3 linked regions of the Drosophila melanogaster genome follow. The protein of the gene in region 2 purifies or fractionates together with the protein of the main gene of each other region. This does not show direct contact. Each region holds a gene or a part of one and is shown on either strand. Other genes may lie near its edges.

Region 1 (6,315 bases), on a different chromosome or scaffold from region 2:
CTAGTTGCTATTAAAATGCATTTAAAAACACAAAATATTTAAAATAATTGCCAAGAAGCTAATGCGCCGCTTGTTTACATCGGTCAACGCCCAAATAATGTCGAAGAGCAAGGGGAAATCAAAGGCCGGCGTTGAAAGTGCGAAAAACGATGCAAAAGCGATGCCGGCTAAGGAAGCCAGTCCGATTTCAGTCGATAAGAGCGGCAATATATGCATACAAATCCTTGCCAAGCCGGGGGCTAAGCAGAACGGAATCACAGGAATTGGCTTTGAAGGAGTGGGCGTCCAAATCGCCGCTCCGCCCAGCGAGGGAGAAGCTAACGCCGAACTGGTCAAGTTTCTGTCGAAAGTTCTAGGTCTTCGAAAGAGCGACGTTTCTTTGGACAAGGGATCTCGATCGCGAAACAAGATAATAATGATAACCAAGGGAGTGTCCACGGTGGAGGCCATTGAGCAGCTGCTGCGCAAAGAATCCGATTCATAGATTGTTTATTCCCCCCAATAAATACTCGCTCAGAAGTTAGATTTTTAAAACACATTTGCTTGTTGTTTATTTGGTTTTATGTTTATCATCGATCGGGTCATCAAACCTTAATTATATATATACTCGATTCTTTATATAGCTCTACCAACTAGGGCGCGTATGTAGTCTTTAGTTTTTTACATAAATTACTTGGATTCTAAATTATAAGTTCTTAAAACGACAACTGCTCTTGAATGTTCTGTGAGAACCTAACCATTTAACGAGTTATTCCTGCTTTTTTATGAGTTAAGCGTATGTCTGTCGCTTATAACGCGGCAAAATGTTAATGAATACAAAATTTAACTCGGCCGTAGTAAACTCAGTATAAAAGTTCGAAACGCAAGTAAATTGTGTATGTGAATGCGAGTGATAGAATGAATTTTGGTTGTTTGTTTCGACTGGTCGCTTAATCGACCTCCTCCATGTGGGAAGCGTCCTCTGTGTCCTCAACCAGCGAGGGGGCATCTCCGGCGCTCTGGGCATCGTCGGTAGTCATAGGCTCGTCCTCGTCGATTCCCAAGCCCAGCTTGATCATGCGGTAGATGCGGCTGGCGTGCACCTGGGGGCTGTCCAGCGAGAATCCAGAGGACAGCAGAGAGGTCTCGAACAGCAGGATGACCAGATCCTTGACGGCCTTATCGTTCTTGTCGGCATCGGCCTTCTGGCGGAGAGTCTCCACAATTGGGTGATCGGGGTTGATCTCCAGCTGCTTCTTGCCGGCCATGTAGCCCATTGTGGCGGTATCACGCAGAGCCTGGGCCTTCATGATGCGCTCCATGTTAGCGGACCAGCCGAACTGCGAAGTGACAATGCAGCAGGGCGAATCCACCAGGCGGTTGGACACCACCACCTTCTCGACCTTGTTGTCCAGGATGGACTTCATCAGCTTGCACAGGCTCTCGAACTTGGCCTTGTCCTCCTCGCGCTTCTTCTTCTCGCTCTCATCCTCAGGCAGCTCCAGACCCTCCTTGGTGACAGAGACCAGCTGCTTGCCCTTGTACTCCTTCAAGTGCTGGATGACATACTCATCGATGGGCTCGGTCATGTAGACCACCTCGAAGCCACGGGCCTTGACGCGCTCCACGAAGGCAGAGTTGCTGACCTGGTCCTTGGACTCGCCAGTGATGAAGTACACGTGCTTCTGGTTATCCTTCATGCGCGACACGTAGTCGGCCAGGGAGCAGAAATCGTCGCCGGAGGCAGAGGTGTGGAAGCGAAGGAAGTCGGCCAACTTGGCACGGTTGTTGCTGTCCTCGTGCACACCCAGCTTCAGGTTCTTGCTGAACTGGTCATAGAACTTCTTGTAGTTCTCCTTGTCCTCGGTGAGCTCCTCAATCAGCTCCATGGTCTTCTTGACCAGGTTCTTGCGGATCACCTTTAGGACCTTGTTCTGCTGCAGCATCTCACGTGAGATGTTGAGGGGCAGATCCTCGGAGTCGACCACACCCTTCATGAAGTTCAAGTACTCTGGAATGAGGTCCTCGCAGTTGTCCATGATGAAGACACGACGCACGTACAGCTTGATGTTGTTGCGCTTCTTCTGGTTCTCGAAGAGATCGAAGGGCGTGCGACGGGGAATGAAGAGCAGAGCACGGAACTCCAGCTGACCCTCCACGGAGAAGTGCTTGACGGCCAGATGATCCTCCCAGTCGTTGGTCAGGGATTTGTAGAACTCGCCGTACTCCTCCTGGGAGATATCATCGGGATTGCGGGTCCAGATGGGCTTGGTCTTGTTCAGCTCCTCATCCTCAGTGTACTTCTCCTTGATGGTCTTCTTCTTCTTGGCATCCTTGTCCTTCTTGTCGGCATCCTCATCCTCGCCAACATCCTCGATTTTGGGCTCATCAGTCTCCATCTCCTTCTTCTCATCACCTTCCTTCTTCTCATCATCAGCCTCATCGTCGCTGACCTCCTTCTCGCGCTCCTTCTCTACGAGCAGCTTGATGGGGTAGCCAATGAACTGGGAGTGCTTGTTAACAATCTCCTTGATCTTGCTCTCCTCCAGATAGTCGGTCTGGTCCTCCTTGATGTACAGCACGATCTTGGTGCCACGGCCCAGGGGCTCAGAGTTGTCGGCACGGACTGTGAAAGAGCCTCCGGCAGAGGACTCCCACACGTACTGCTCGTCATCGTTGTTCTTGGAGGTGACAGTCACCTTGTCGGCGACCAGGTAGGCGGAGTAGAAACCCACACCGAACTGACCGATCATGGAAATGTCGGCACCAGCCTGCAGAGCCTCCATGAAGGCCTTGGTTCCGGACTTGGCAATGGTTCCCAAGTTGTTGACCAGGTCGGACTTGGTCATACCGATACCGGTATCAATGATGGTCAGAGTACCAGCCGTCTTGTTAGGGATCAGCTTGATGTACAGCTCCTTGCCAGAGTCCAGCTTGCTGGGGTCAGTAAGGGACTCATAGCGGATCTTGTCCAGGGCATCGGAAGCGTTCGAGATCAACTCGCGCAGGAAAATCTCCTTGTTCGAGTAGAATGTGTTGATGATCAGGGACATCAGCTGAGCAATCTCAGCCTGGAATGCAAAGGTCTCTGCTTCTTCTGGCATCTGCAATGGATTTACAAAATCATTAGGATTAGTTATAGTCTGTGGGTTCAACACTAAGGAAAAGCAGCTGCATTTTCAGCAGCTGCTCCGGTTTTATTCTTTTTCTTTCTTTCTCTTTTGCACATGCCTCATTTAACATGCGCATATACAAGTACAGTGGTGGTCAAAATTATAGCATTCACTTTGCAACCCGTAAAATGGAATTTTAATTTCAATTAGCCAACAGAATTGATTTTAAGTTGCAAAATAATGTTTTAAATTTAAATATTTAAATATAATTATGCAAATTGGGTCGGTTGATAATTTTTCTACCCCTGCTGTGTGCAAACTCGTGTCTGTGTGAGTGAGCATTGCATTGAAAATTCGTACTTCACCAAGGAAGTTTGTGGAAGCATCTAGAAGCCAAAGGAAAACTAATTCGCCTAGCAAGTTGCTAGTAGCAACCAACCAATTAAAATAGAGCAAATAGGATTAAAAAACCGATTTAACAGAATTTGCTTACTGACGCCACATTTTTACTTGAAAGTATTAGTCATGGGCGTGCATGTGTGCGTATGCGGCATGTGCAATTTAAAATGGGAATGCAAAGAAAGCACGTGTAATTGTAAATGAAGGACAGTAATTTATAATTAAAAAGCCTATTTGGCACGCTGTTTAATTCATGCTAAAGCATAGAAACCTCTAGAACATTCTCGAGCGGCAAATGTGATTTGCGCATTGTCACCCCCTAAAAAGAGCGGCATAATTCGATTTAGCGCTAAAAGACCATTGCATTAAACAAAAATTAATCTTGTATTCTATAAACCACATGTAATTGTAAATAAAGGACAGTAATATATAATTAAAAGGCCTATTTGGCACGATGTTTAATTCATGCTAAAGCATAGAAACCTCTGGAAGATGCGTCCAAGCGACAAAAAATAAAAGAAACCGGCATTTTGAGTTAATTTGCACGTTGCCACCTCTTAATTAATCAAAAAAAATTCTTAAACTTGGCTCCTAGAAATTTAAAATCAATATCTCACATTTGGGTCAAGAACATTCGAGATGCACAGGACCACGCAAAATGCACATTTTGGCCATAGCCACTGATAAACTATTCACTCTTTTCTTGTAATTTGCATTACTCACCTTGTATGTATGTTTTTCGTTCTATTCACAGAATAAAGGTAAAAATACAGATATTTTCACTTTGCTTTGTATAGAATTGGAAATTCACAAAACTTTTCAGACGCTGCTTGTTGTTACGACGCACACCGTACGAAATTTTTTTCAAGACTCGAACCGGCAAACGCCGCGCGTCTGCTTTTATAGAAAAACCCGACCCGAACTGGAAGTCTCTAGAAACTTCTAGAGGCTTCTGGATGCCAGGGATGCAACTTCCTGTGAATACTAGGGTAGATCAGTGTTGTGATACGGTCGAAAAGTGCGCAACCTGTGCGGGCGAATTCAAAAATTATACTGAACTAAGTTTGGTGGAAATTCGTCTAAGTGGTCCGAACGATTGAGCAAAGCCCACTGGGATTGCTTAAAACATTACAATTGGATATCAAAACGCCCACTAGGCTTATACTGTAATTAGGAAAATGGAAAATTTAATTGTTCCCAATATTATTTTACTTGTTTTAACAGTAAATAATAAACAAATCAGCTTATGACCTGTTAATTTTTATTTATATTTATGAATACTTTTCTCCACCAGACTATCGATATTTCCAGAGTTTCAGAGACTTGGTGGTGCAAGCTGGTTCCTCTGGAATAAACTAGTTCCATTTTAAGCGGACGGTAAAATTTGAAATCACTTGAGTGGGTTTGGGGAACAAAAATTGGAAAGTTTTTGTTGTAATTAGCTAAAAAGCAGACATTTCACATTCCGGAAAATAATTGCTTCTGTGCAAAACCTGCTACAAGCCCAGTCAAGTAAAAAATCTCTCATTAATTAAGAAGTGTCATATCGATCATTTGGTTTCGGTCAATTCTGTTATCGATGCCTCCCATCGATATCACCAGCTGACGCTAACACTTCCACCACTAATAACATAAAAGTTGTTTGCTTATATTTAAACAAATGGGCGGCACTAAGTGTTGTTTTCGTGATTGTCCGGTGGGTTCTAGCCGCAACCCCAATATGCACTTCTTCAAGTTCCCCGTTAAGGATCCGAAGAGGTTGAAAGATTGGGTCAGGAATTGTTCAAACCCTGACGTTTCAAATGCACCGCCGTCCAAACTGGCAGCCAAAACAGTTTGTGCCCGGCACTTTCGAGCGGAATGCTTCATGAACTACAAAATGGACAGACTCATCCCAATGCAGACGCCCACTTTGTTCAGGATCAACAGGGATCTGGCACTAGACTATGAAAATCTCGACCAGAACGGTGAAGCTCTTCTCGTGAAGTTGACGCCTCCAAAGCAGCAACACCTAATACCACCTAAAGATTTCGAGTGTCCTCTGGGATTCGTGGATGGTGAGACACAGAATTTGGATGTTGTTAAGAAACGAAATACAGTAGAGTTGACAGAAGAGGAGGAACCGCAAGGGAAAGACGAAGCCGACGAAGTGCTGGCTACGGAGCAGGAACAGCCGGTTGTACACACGGAGAAAACAACGGTGGCGCATAAGAGTTCTACAACATCAACAAGCGCTTCGGCTATGCCTCAAAACATTCTAGATATCATAAGTCAACTTCAGCCTTCATTGGGCATCAAATTGATTAAAAGACCAGTAAAGCGTCAATCAGGAAGCGAGAATGAGTTGTTTCAGCTTGAAGAGCAGCTCCCAAAAGAACAAACTGATGATACAAGCAAGATGCGAACAGTCACCAAGGAATCAGAAAAGCAAATTAAATCAAAAAGTTGTATTATTGACGTTATGAAAATGCCAAAGCTTGCCGATAAATGTCAAGAAAAGCAAGTGCCAACTAGAAAAGAGTACCGACCAATTAAAGGGACTGTGGTTAGAAAACGTGGGATGCAGGAGGCAGATGCTGATAGACTGAACGAAGATGAATCCACCAAGGAGCAGGCTAAGAAAAGGAAGCTACCCCAAGAAGCACAAAAGACTGACTCCCACGCTTCACCTGAGAACGGTACGATATTGAACCGATATACACAATTGCAAGAGAAATTCTGGGATGAGCAGAAGACTCCGATGTTGGAGAAACCCACCCAATCCATCCAAATTAATCTTAGTTCTAGCAAAGAAAATAGTCAGAGTGATTCCATTTCCGAAACC
Region 2 (4,703 bases):
TTTATTTTAATCTCCGCCTTTTCTTGGCACTCCTTTATCTTGGCCATTTTGAGTGGATCGACGTCGGCGAGCAAAGGAGTCACCGCTTTGTCTCCCATTAGCTTTATTAAAGTACCAAGAGCTTCGGCGCTGCTGTCGCGTACGGTTGGATCTGGTTCGTTAAGCGTTTTCACTAGACTGGTGGTCAGAAGTTTAAGCAGCTTTTTGTTTAGCGCGGTTGGTTGGGTGCGGGTTAGGGCACGGGCAATAAACAAGGCCGTTTCGGACTTAACACTTGGATTTTTGTTGGACAGGGACTCTACAATGGACTCTTGCTGGGCCTCTAGAGAAGTGGAGGCGTATATGGCATCAATAGCTTCACGCAGCGCTGTCACAACATTAGGTTTCTTCTCTTTAAATTTTTCCAACAGGGATGGGACACAAGCCTGAAATAGAAGAACACATATGAAAACACGTTATTTGGAAGAAGGTGAGAGTTACTTACGGATGCGTAATTTGAGAATCGCTTTGCCAATCCTTTGGCTAGCAAGGCTAGACATTTTCCGGCCATTGCAACGAGGACTACGTTGGAGTCCTTGGTTATAACCTTTTTAAGAGCGCTTACCAGCGCTCCATACTCGCCATTCTCTAGCTTGGGGTGGTCAGTGAGCAGTTTCTCCAGGACTTCCAACGATTCTTTGCGCAGAGTCCATTTCTTTTCCTCCAGCTTATCGTAGAAGTCCTTGGGCATTTTGGAGAGAATGTCAACGGGGTCTAGAAGATCCATAGGATCGATTTCTTCAACGCCAGCCTCGCCATCATCCTCTGCATACGAAAACCAAAATCAAATCAATAATTCACTGCTTTTGTAATATCGAGGGCTTCATACCATTATATGCATCCTCGGTCGCTGCAGCATCGGCGATCTTCGCTTGCTTTTCCTGCTGGGACTTTAGATATCTAAAAGTAAGAGCGGTTTAGCTAGGCAATGATAGAGAGAAATCCTTGAACACACCTGGAGGGTTCAACGCGTTCACCTTTGAGTTTGTCGAATTCATCCTCCAGCTCCTTTAGCGTTACCTGTGGTAGCGTTGAGATCTGTGCCTTCATTGCAGCTCCGATCCAACGGTAAATCTCAACAGCCAGCTGCTTGCCCTCATCTCGGACCGTCTTGTCTCGGTCAGACATTAGCGGAGCAAGCTTTTTAATTAACGGCTTGACGCCGATCACCTTGTGTCCGAACTCGCGGAGGGCCAGTGTGGTGGCTGCCACGCAGGCAGACACAATCTTAGGGTTCTTGGCCTCCATACCTTTAACCAGCTCTTCGACGACGGCCTCCTGCTTCTCTATCTCCACATACATTAGAGCCACTTGGACGGAGAGCTCCTTGGTTTTGGTCTTTGGCGCCGCAATGCACTTCTGAACGATGCCTGTCATCACGTCGCCTACTGTGCGTCCCGCCAGCCCGCTGTTCTCCACAAAAATGAGGGCCGCTTCTAGACCCTTTTCCTGGGCCAGAGCATTAGAGTCCACTACCATCTTCTTTATGAGCCCTGCAAATTTAGACCATTCCGGCGACTTCTCGTCATCCAGCTCGCGAAAGATCTTTGCGGCCTCCTCGTAACCATCGACGCGGGCTTTCCATAGTTTATGGACACACCGCTCCTCCACCGGCAACTTCTTGTACTCTGTGTCCTCGGCCATTGTGTCGTGTTTCGTACGCTACTCGGGTTCTCCTCAATGGTCTCAGTCGCAAACAGCCTCAAGCAGCATTCTGCGAAACAAAAAGATAAATATGTATAAAAAAGCTACTTTAATCGAATTTTTCTTAAAAGAAAAACTAGCCAAGCTTCCAATGAAGCAGAACTATTCCGGATGTCAGGAGTCATCGAGCTGATGTTTTAAAATTGAGCTTAATAGTCTATGAAATACCGATGGCCAAGGAAGCAGAATCATCCATCCGTTTCGCTCGAGGGGCGGAAAAAAGTAAATGGGTCGGCCATATTTAGATTGTCGTTTTCTAAGTGCAGTTATTTGGCAAACAGAAGCAGAAATAGGAGAGTGTAAATTTGGATTTTCGGAAAAGGTTGGTGGGCTTGTCACCCAGGATGGGTGATATCATGTCGCTGAATAGCGCGTTATTTTTTCAGTCAATTAATCAGGGGCACGGCAAATACCCCCCGCACAACCACTACAAAAGGTGACACACGCACACGAAAGCCTGCGACTGAATCAGGCGTGGATTTTCCATCACTCCCATTTATTATTCATGCATCTGTCTCTTTAATATTGTTTTGATGCGCTCCTACTGTGCTCACGTTTGAGTAGAGCATTTTTCAATTCGGATATGCCCGCGCTTTGTTTCTTCCTCTCTCTTGATTTCGCTCTTTCAAGCTCTCACGCACACCGACGCTCTCAAGTTCGAATTAACGGATCATACCGCAGGCAACAACAAATGTTTCTCCTGTGGGCTGTGTGTCTGGATTATGCCGTCGTTTACCGTTCCACCCAACCGCCAATGGTTGCAGCGGCTATCAATTTCCAGTGGCTGCAACTTGAGAGCCGCAGATGAAGCACATATCGCCCATTTTAGCGACAAACAAATTGCGACGCCCTGGAACAAAATCGCGATGCATCCGAGTGCATTCCGGTACACGCACTAGCACACTCACCATCAGAATTGTGATCCAAGTACCGCCGTAGAGCGGGGACTGGGCGAGGAGCTGCGGGACTTACAGCTGGCCAGGGACAGCGGCTTGAAAGGGCTGCGCAATGCAATAACTTCGATTTTTCGCAGGCGACGACGTACCAACACTTACACACGGCACAACACAGAAGCACGCACACTTATTCGACAAAGACACACCGACGGGGTCTTTCCGGGATGCCAAGTAATGTAGCAACAATGAACAATAACTTAACTACGTTTCCAGCACTTCGAGCCTCTTTTGTGCAGCGGAATTTACTTGGTTTCGCGGTAGGTAAATAAATAATAATTTTCGCAGTTTTCCAACAGCGTCGTTGCGCCAGTGTGACCGCTACTCACAACTCTAGCATCCCCTAAAACCTAGAATTAGTGTGCTGGGTGGAAAACTTTGATAGGTACGCGCTAAATTTTAAACATATATTTCCAAATATTTGGCCAACATTGATTTCAAGCGATTACCACAGGCAAATATTTATTTGATGTTTGGGAGCATTCCCGTGTAGAACATTAACTAAGAGAGATTTGACATTCAGCATAAAAAAAGCCAATTGTATAATTGTTATGTTGTATTTATTGAGCCATCGCTTTCGATGCGCGTGATCTCCAGAAGATGAATAGTGTGTCCGCCCATAAACTCCAGCAGATCCACTCCCGACTCCTTGCCAATGTCCTCCATGCTGATGGGTAAAGCCTGCAGCTTCCACTTCTTGAGCAGCGCCTCTATGGACCAGTCGGCGCTCCGCTCCTGGTATGTAAATATAAATTTGGCCCCGGCATTTCGCTCCAGCAGAAAAGCAACTGTGACCACGATATCCTCGAACACGCTGGGATCGTAGAAGCAGTCTGCTGCAATGATAAGGTCCAGAGGCGGCAGTCGGAACACGCTGTTCAGCAGCAGGCCCCAACTCAGGCCCACCACATCGATATCAACGCCCGGCTGCAGTTGATTGGCCAGGCAGGACTTTCGGATATGGGCCAGTGACTTGGGCAGAATGCAGTTGTCAGTAAGTACCACTTGGGCGCGGCATTTGGCCGCCAGAATGCCGGGCAGGGCGGTGCCGCTTCCCAGCTCCAGGATGCGCTTGCCCGCCAGTGTCTGTCGGCGCTCCCACAGGAAGTGGGCTAAAATTGGTGCGCAAGGCCATGTGTAGAAGGAGTAGGCACCCTGAAGCAGCTGTAGGCGGACACTTTAGATACTACACGAACACCTGGTTCTAAGGATTACCTCAGGTATTTTGATCTCCAGTCGCTCGGCGGGTGATCCGCTGAAGACAAACTTGCGGATATGCTCGGCAGTGGCTGTGGCCGCCACAATGTCATTGTCCTCGCTGCCGCTCTTCATGTGGAAACGCATCTTAGCTCAAGCATGCAGGAGTATTACTATTTTCACTAAACTAAAGTTATTTTTCAGCGTTTTGTTTACAACCTGTTTGATTAGCGATGTCACTTCGTTGCGATAACTTAATCGATAAAAATTGAGGCGAGTGAAGCAAATAGTGACCGAAGGGTGACTTCAGTAGCAGTTGACATTTTAAGCCACCATTTCTAAGCTTCAATTAAAAACGTTTTTGGGTATCCCAATTCGTCCAGTTTATTTAAAGGTATGCATCCCAATTGAAAGTGGCTGCAGCTGAGCGCTCCTCTAAACAAAATTCTCGTGACCGCGATTGCTGCTGAACGATGACTAGTGTATAAGCAATCGAATATCGCAAATCTTGTATGATCACTGTGGTGTTTTGCTTTTCCGATTGCCATGGAGGGATTCAGATTCTTGGAAGAATGAGCTCCGTAAATAAAATAAAGCTTAACGAAAACAACAAGATGCACTCTTTTGGGAACTGGGAGCGGTGCCGGAATCTGGGAGAGGGCGGATTCGGCCTAGTGATCCATTGGCGAAACCGAACAACGGGCCGTGAAATTGGTGAGCTATAAACACCTTATGGGCTAACACTAATATACATATACATATAAATATTTTAAGGATTTTCTTTTTCGCAAACACACATTACCAGCCCCC
Region 3 (5,030 bases), about 11 Mb from region 2:
GACACGGAAACCGAGGGCCTTGTCCGGGAAAATTACCATAAAGGCGGACGACGGACGAGGGAATCGGGTATGCCAAGGGAAAATCAAAAGTTACTTATTCTTCCTTCTATATATTTGTCTCTTGAAATTTCCACTCTCCAGATGGTGCACTTTCCATTTAAAAATGCTAGTGTGTATCGCTATTATGCCAATAAATCAGTTGGCGGCTAACGGCTGCAAAATGTCAGTGCCTAATGCGGTTTACAGTCCAAAAAACGCCCATCTGAGGATTTAAGTTTGACTAAATGTCATTTAACTCCATCTTCCCTTTTGCCAACAAAAATGCTCATTATAAAGGATCTACAGATGGTTTCCACCCCTTTCCACATTTGCCTATTTTTAGATCAGTTTATAGTTGGCTCTTCCTCAATATTTGTTTTCTTTTATTTTCCTGAGTTCTATTGGATATTCGAATTGCAGCTTAAGGTTCAAATTCCACTTGTATTCTATTCTATTGTATTTATTGTGTTTTCTGAAATCAGTATACTCATTTGTGGCCACTATTTGGATTCCACTCAAGGCTTATATGCTTCAACAAACTACATTGGTTTTAAATTCACCCTGAGCCGGGAACCGTGTGATATCTTGTCACCTGTCGCGCGCTGCTTGGATAACGCTAGAGCCAACATCTAACTATTCCCCCCTCGTCAAGGCCCATCGTGTGGGATTCCGTTTCATTGCTTACATTTTCTCGCCAAACATGCAAAGTCAGCCGTTGGGCAATGTGGAGCTTGCAGATAGTGCGCCATGATGCGCAACAATGGCTGTGGGATTGCATGTCATCTGGGACCCACCAGGCCTCTACACTTGAAACAATGTGATGAGCCAAATCAACATATTTATTATTTTAGAGCACTCTACTTGCCTCTACTGGTATATCTTTAAGAGAAAGCATTTTGCAAATAAGACTGTTCTCCAAAAATCCTATGGAAAATGTGCAAAATAATTCTGTCATCAAAGCGTTGAATTTGCACCAAGTTCCTCCAGTTGATTTGCGAAGACAATATAAGCAGTCGGCGGTCGCCGTATTCTCGTATCCCATTTATTTATCCCCTTCTTTAAGTGTTTCGACTTATTTGCGGTGTCTTGCACTTTCACTGCTGCCTTTCAGTCTGAATTTCGTCTGAGGCCTGTATAGTTTTTCAGTTTTTCACTGCAGTTCAGTCAAAAAGGTTGTCAACTTGAGCCCGCTCTTTTGACATTATTATTTTATAAATGTTGCCCACGACCTCGACCGTTTCCAAAATGTATTTCATATATCTAAGAGAAGTGTGTTTAAATGGATCAAGTGTGTGTTGCCCTCTAGCTTCATAAAACCCAATATATTTTCTCGAAATAGAAAAGGGTAACTATTCCAACCATAGAAAGGATAAGATTTCATCTTCAGAATCACCAGCCAAGTCTATCTGGCCACTAAGACTTATATTATTTATATGCTAATAAAATCTTTGAAGGGTATATTTCTCGTAGCTCCAAAAGCTGAGTAATGGGTAGTCGAGAAAAACGACTGAGTTCTCTGTTGTTTTGATTTAATTTTCATTAGGAATATTTGTGCTTAAAAGTTCAGAGTATAACTTATCGGAACTATTTCAAGACTAAGGATGTGCTAAATAAATGTTTTAAGTTGGTATGAAATCCATAATGTGTAATATACAAAGGTGTCTCTAGCCGCCGTCTCACATGTGAAAACATATGGCAGTATTATAAATGGAAGAGAGGACCGTGCTGATAAGGGGAGAACGCCATGTGGGCTAAAACGATCCAAACATGAAGACATACGAAAACATCCGGATCGTTATGTGGATGCCATTCAAACTATTCGTTCTCTCACTCGGTCTGTCGATCCCCCGCACTCTCGCCGTGCTCTAAGTATTTGTGCATGTGTGACGCTGAGCAGAGCAAAGCAAATTGAAAACGAAAATATTTTTAAATTGATTTTAAAGGCAGACATGATCGGGAGGCAGTGAGAACCGCACGCGACAACGGGCCGTGAGAAACCCGGAGGTATTACCCAATATAATGGAAGCGGAAAATCACAGTAAAGATTTTACCGAGTAGGCGAGCCCAAATCTGTGTCACAACAAAAACCACAAAAAAAAAAAAAAAAAAAAAACACTAAAGACCAAACTAAGGAACTCTATAGATCCATTATTTTTTGGAGCCAAGTGAACCGTATCGCGTCTCAGGAGTTAATCGTGCGTAGAGCGGCATGGATTTCCTCGCGAATATCATCAAAAGACCCAAAAGCATCGCCACCACTGGCATCAGCACCAATCAGCCAACGACAATGGAAGCCCTAGAAGCTGCTAGTCCCGCTGATGAATGTTCTACACCAAGGGATAAGGGAGGAGTTACACTTGTATCCGCGCACCTGGACTCGTTACTAGAGTCCGCCTCTGAGGAGCTGCAACGACTGGAGGGAAAGCACTGTGAACTATTTATGGAATCCATCTCGAACCCACTCCCAGCCCCCGAGGACAGCACTGATAGTAGAGAAGAAATACAGAAATTTCTAAGCGAAATAAACTTCAATCTGAACCAAGTGAGTGCTAACGAAATGGAGCACTTGCAAGCCATGAGTGGCGAGGTATGTCTGAAAGAATTAGGACTATCTTTTTATGTGCATCCCTGGGGGGGGGGGGGGGGGTGTTCTAGTATTAGGCAAACTGCATAAATCTACACATTGGAATTTTTTTGTAATGTCCCAATGTGTTTTGCCGATTGCATATATAGTATTTATGCGGTTCCACTTGGTTTTGTCACCTTATTGCGTTGCAGAAAATATTATTTTAAATAGGGTTGTATCTAGCCATTAGCTTGGGCTAATATTCCGCAGGAATCTGCTTCCCATTACCACTCAAATTTGAGCCCATTGTCAAAAAATTAAAATTAAAATACTTATCAATAAAATCGAAACGGAGAAATTGGTCTAATGCCAGAATTTTCCTAATTTTTAGTGTCTCGCTCATAAGCCGGTCACCACTCGCCTTATTCTTCTGACTTTAACCTTGCAGCACCCATTATACTGCAATGCGCTCTAATTAAATTCCGCGTGTAGAACGATGCTCCCAAACCTAAATAGACATTAAACATGGCGGCCGGCCGCATTGAATCCGCGGCATGTTTATTTCGCACTGCACAAAAGCTGACGTCGACCCAGTTCCACGTCCATCTCCCCACCTTTTGCTCCTCAATCCGTTTCGTTGCCACCCTCCCAAACATATGCCATATACCCGATTTTTACGTCTTGGCTGGCTTTTTAATTAATGACATTTGCTTTTGTTGACTGACCGACTGCGACAAACATTTGAAATGTATGTCTTTTTTAAGCGTGAATTGAAGGCATCTGTATCATATGGGCTACATTAGATGAGATTGAAGTTTTTCAAATGAAGATCATAATTTCATAATAATGTATTCTTTTGTATATGATAATAACTAAAAATGGGGGTCCTATGCCTTTGTATAATTTCTTGGCAATGGGAAAATACGGGAAAAGTCATCCCAAATGCGATTTATTTATGCCAACTGTGGTGGGGCTCTTGCCTTTTTGTGTGTCAAAAATTCTTAATTAAATGACCAACCAGCTGCTACTCGTGATCATCTTTAAAACCCCATTCCCAACATCGGTTGTTCACGGTTTAAAACTATTCGGATCATGACCGCGATGTACATCTTGATAACTATATTCTTAAATTTTGCATCTCTTGTTTGGCAGCTGAGTCCGTTGGCGGTGAAGCCCAGTCCCAAGCCAACGAGCATGGATCAACAGAAGGCAATGGCGGCAGCTCTGGGGCATCAGACGGCGGTACCCGGTGGACTTAAGCCAGAAGACGACCTCGTTCCAAAGTTTGGAGGTCTTCCCGAGTTCGATGAGACGCAAATACCGGAACTAGCTCCTTTAAGTACCGATATGGATAGTGAGTAAATCTTGTTTGTGTAACCCAGAAATCTCTTAAGGTAGAAAAATTATATTGATGTACAAAAGAATTCCATACGAAATCCGCCAGAAGAGCGAAGTAATTTCTTCTATTTCAATACCGTCATTTATACAAAGGAAAGGGCCAGCTGGGGAAAATAAATCATTTCCAAGTTTATGTATAAATTTCTCGTTGTATTAATTATATAAATAAATTTCTTATATGTATTTAATTATTATTAAAACGAATTGATTAATATATCGCATTCATTCCTCCCTTAGCTCAACTGAAATCCAACCATTCGGATTCGGATGTTTTTGTCGAGTGTTTATCGCTTCATAGCGAGCGCTACACCGGAGATCGATCGGAGTTAGAGGCATATTCAAGTGCCCTTAATGATGTTTTGGAGCAGCAGCTGTCCATGACCTCAGTTTCTACACTGGGAGCTGAATTCAACGATCCTTTGGCAGTTAGCCAGCACAACAACGTCAGCTATGAAGCCATGGATGTGGATGACCTAAACGAAACCATGGAAATGTTAAAGGACGTCTTGAATGCGGAAGACCGTCATCTTATGCAAACGCATATTCTCAGCGTAACCCAGTCAAAACCAGAGAATAATTTTGTGCACTATCATCCAAATCAGGAGCAAAATAGGGTTGAACTAGACCAGTTAGCCAAACACTCTAAACCCAATAGTGATGCAAAGGAATCAGAATCATTGGTAGAATCAGTACTGTCTGAGGAGTCTGGTACACAATCCTTTGAGCCGAAGCTCACCTTATCTGCCTTGGACTCTACGAAAGACTTAGCTAAGCATCAAGAGGAAATGCAAACAAATACAAAAGATATATTTCAGAAAGAGAAGCACCACCCGGTCAGTAGTGCTCAGGTGAAGGACGCACAAAATCCTAAGGAGCCTGAAAAGGCCTTAAATCTCAAAGAGGCTTCTTCAGAACTGTCCACAAAATCAGCAAAATCTCTAGAATACCCTAATCAAGAGAAGCAATTTTCGGTGGCAGTAGAATCAATGGAGAGACCATGCACTGCCATCAGCCTTGAGCAAAATGC

The links. Proteins that work in one complex are often made in the same cells at the same time.
Region 1: the proteins of msps (region 2) and Hsp83 purify together in Drosophila melanogaster (affinity purification with western blotting; one study listed by BioGRID). This does not show direct contact.
Region 3: the proteins of msps (region 2) and tacc purify together in Drosophila melanogaster (affinity purification with western blotting; 4 studies listed by BioGRID, with this or other methods). This does not show direct contact.

The regions. Positions count from the first base shown.
Region 1 is NT_037436.4:3,191,267-3,197,581, reverse strand, and holds Hsp83 (heat shock protein 83), read right to left. Parts: upstream 4,614-6,315; 5' UTR 4,215-4,613; intron 3,084-4,214; coding exon 930-3,083; 3' UTR 523-929; downstream 1-522. Other genes in the region: CG14966 (uncharacterized protein), read left to right, coding at 62-484; CG14965 (uncharacterized protein), read left to right, coding at 5,152-6,315. UniProt on the Drosophila melanogaster protein: Molecular chaperone that promotes the maturation, structural maintenance and proper regulation of specific target proteins involved for instance in cell cycle control and signal transduction. Undergoes a functional cycle that is linked to its ATPase activity.
Region 2 is NT_033777.3:16,049,125-16,053,827, reverse strand, and holds the start of msps (mini spindles), read right to left. Parts: upstream 3,028-4,703; 5' UTR 2,652-3,027; intron 1,951-2,651; exon of another isoform or gene 1,912-1,950; intron 1,754-1,911; 5' UTR 1,684-1,753; coding exon 995-1,683; intron 940-994; coding exon 869-939; intron 805-868; coding exon 485-804; intron 426-484; coding exon 1-425. Other genes in the region: CG5013 (uncharacterized protein), read right to left, coding at 3,246-3,860, 3,912-4,040; IKKbeta (I-kappaB kinase beta), read left to right, coding at 4,508-4,607. UniProt on the Drosophila melanogaster protein: Binds to the plus end of microtubules and regulates microtubule dynamics and microtubule organization. Function in neurons is essential for adult survival, and is important for climbing behavior and activity.
Region 3 is NT_033777.3:4,743,393-4,748,422, reverse strand, and holds the start of tacc (transforming acidic coiled-coil protein), read left to right. Parts: upstream 1-2,008; 5' UTR 2,009-2,248; coding exon 2,249-2,626; intron 2,627-3,757; coding exon 3,758-3,959; intron 3,960-4,240; coding exon 4,241-5,030.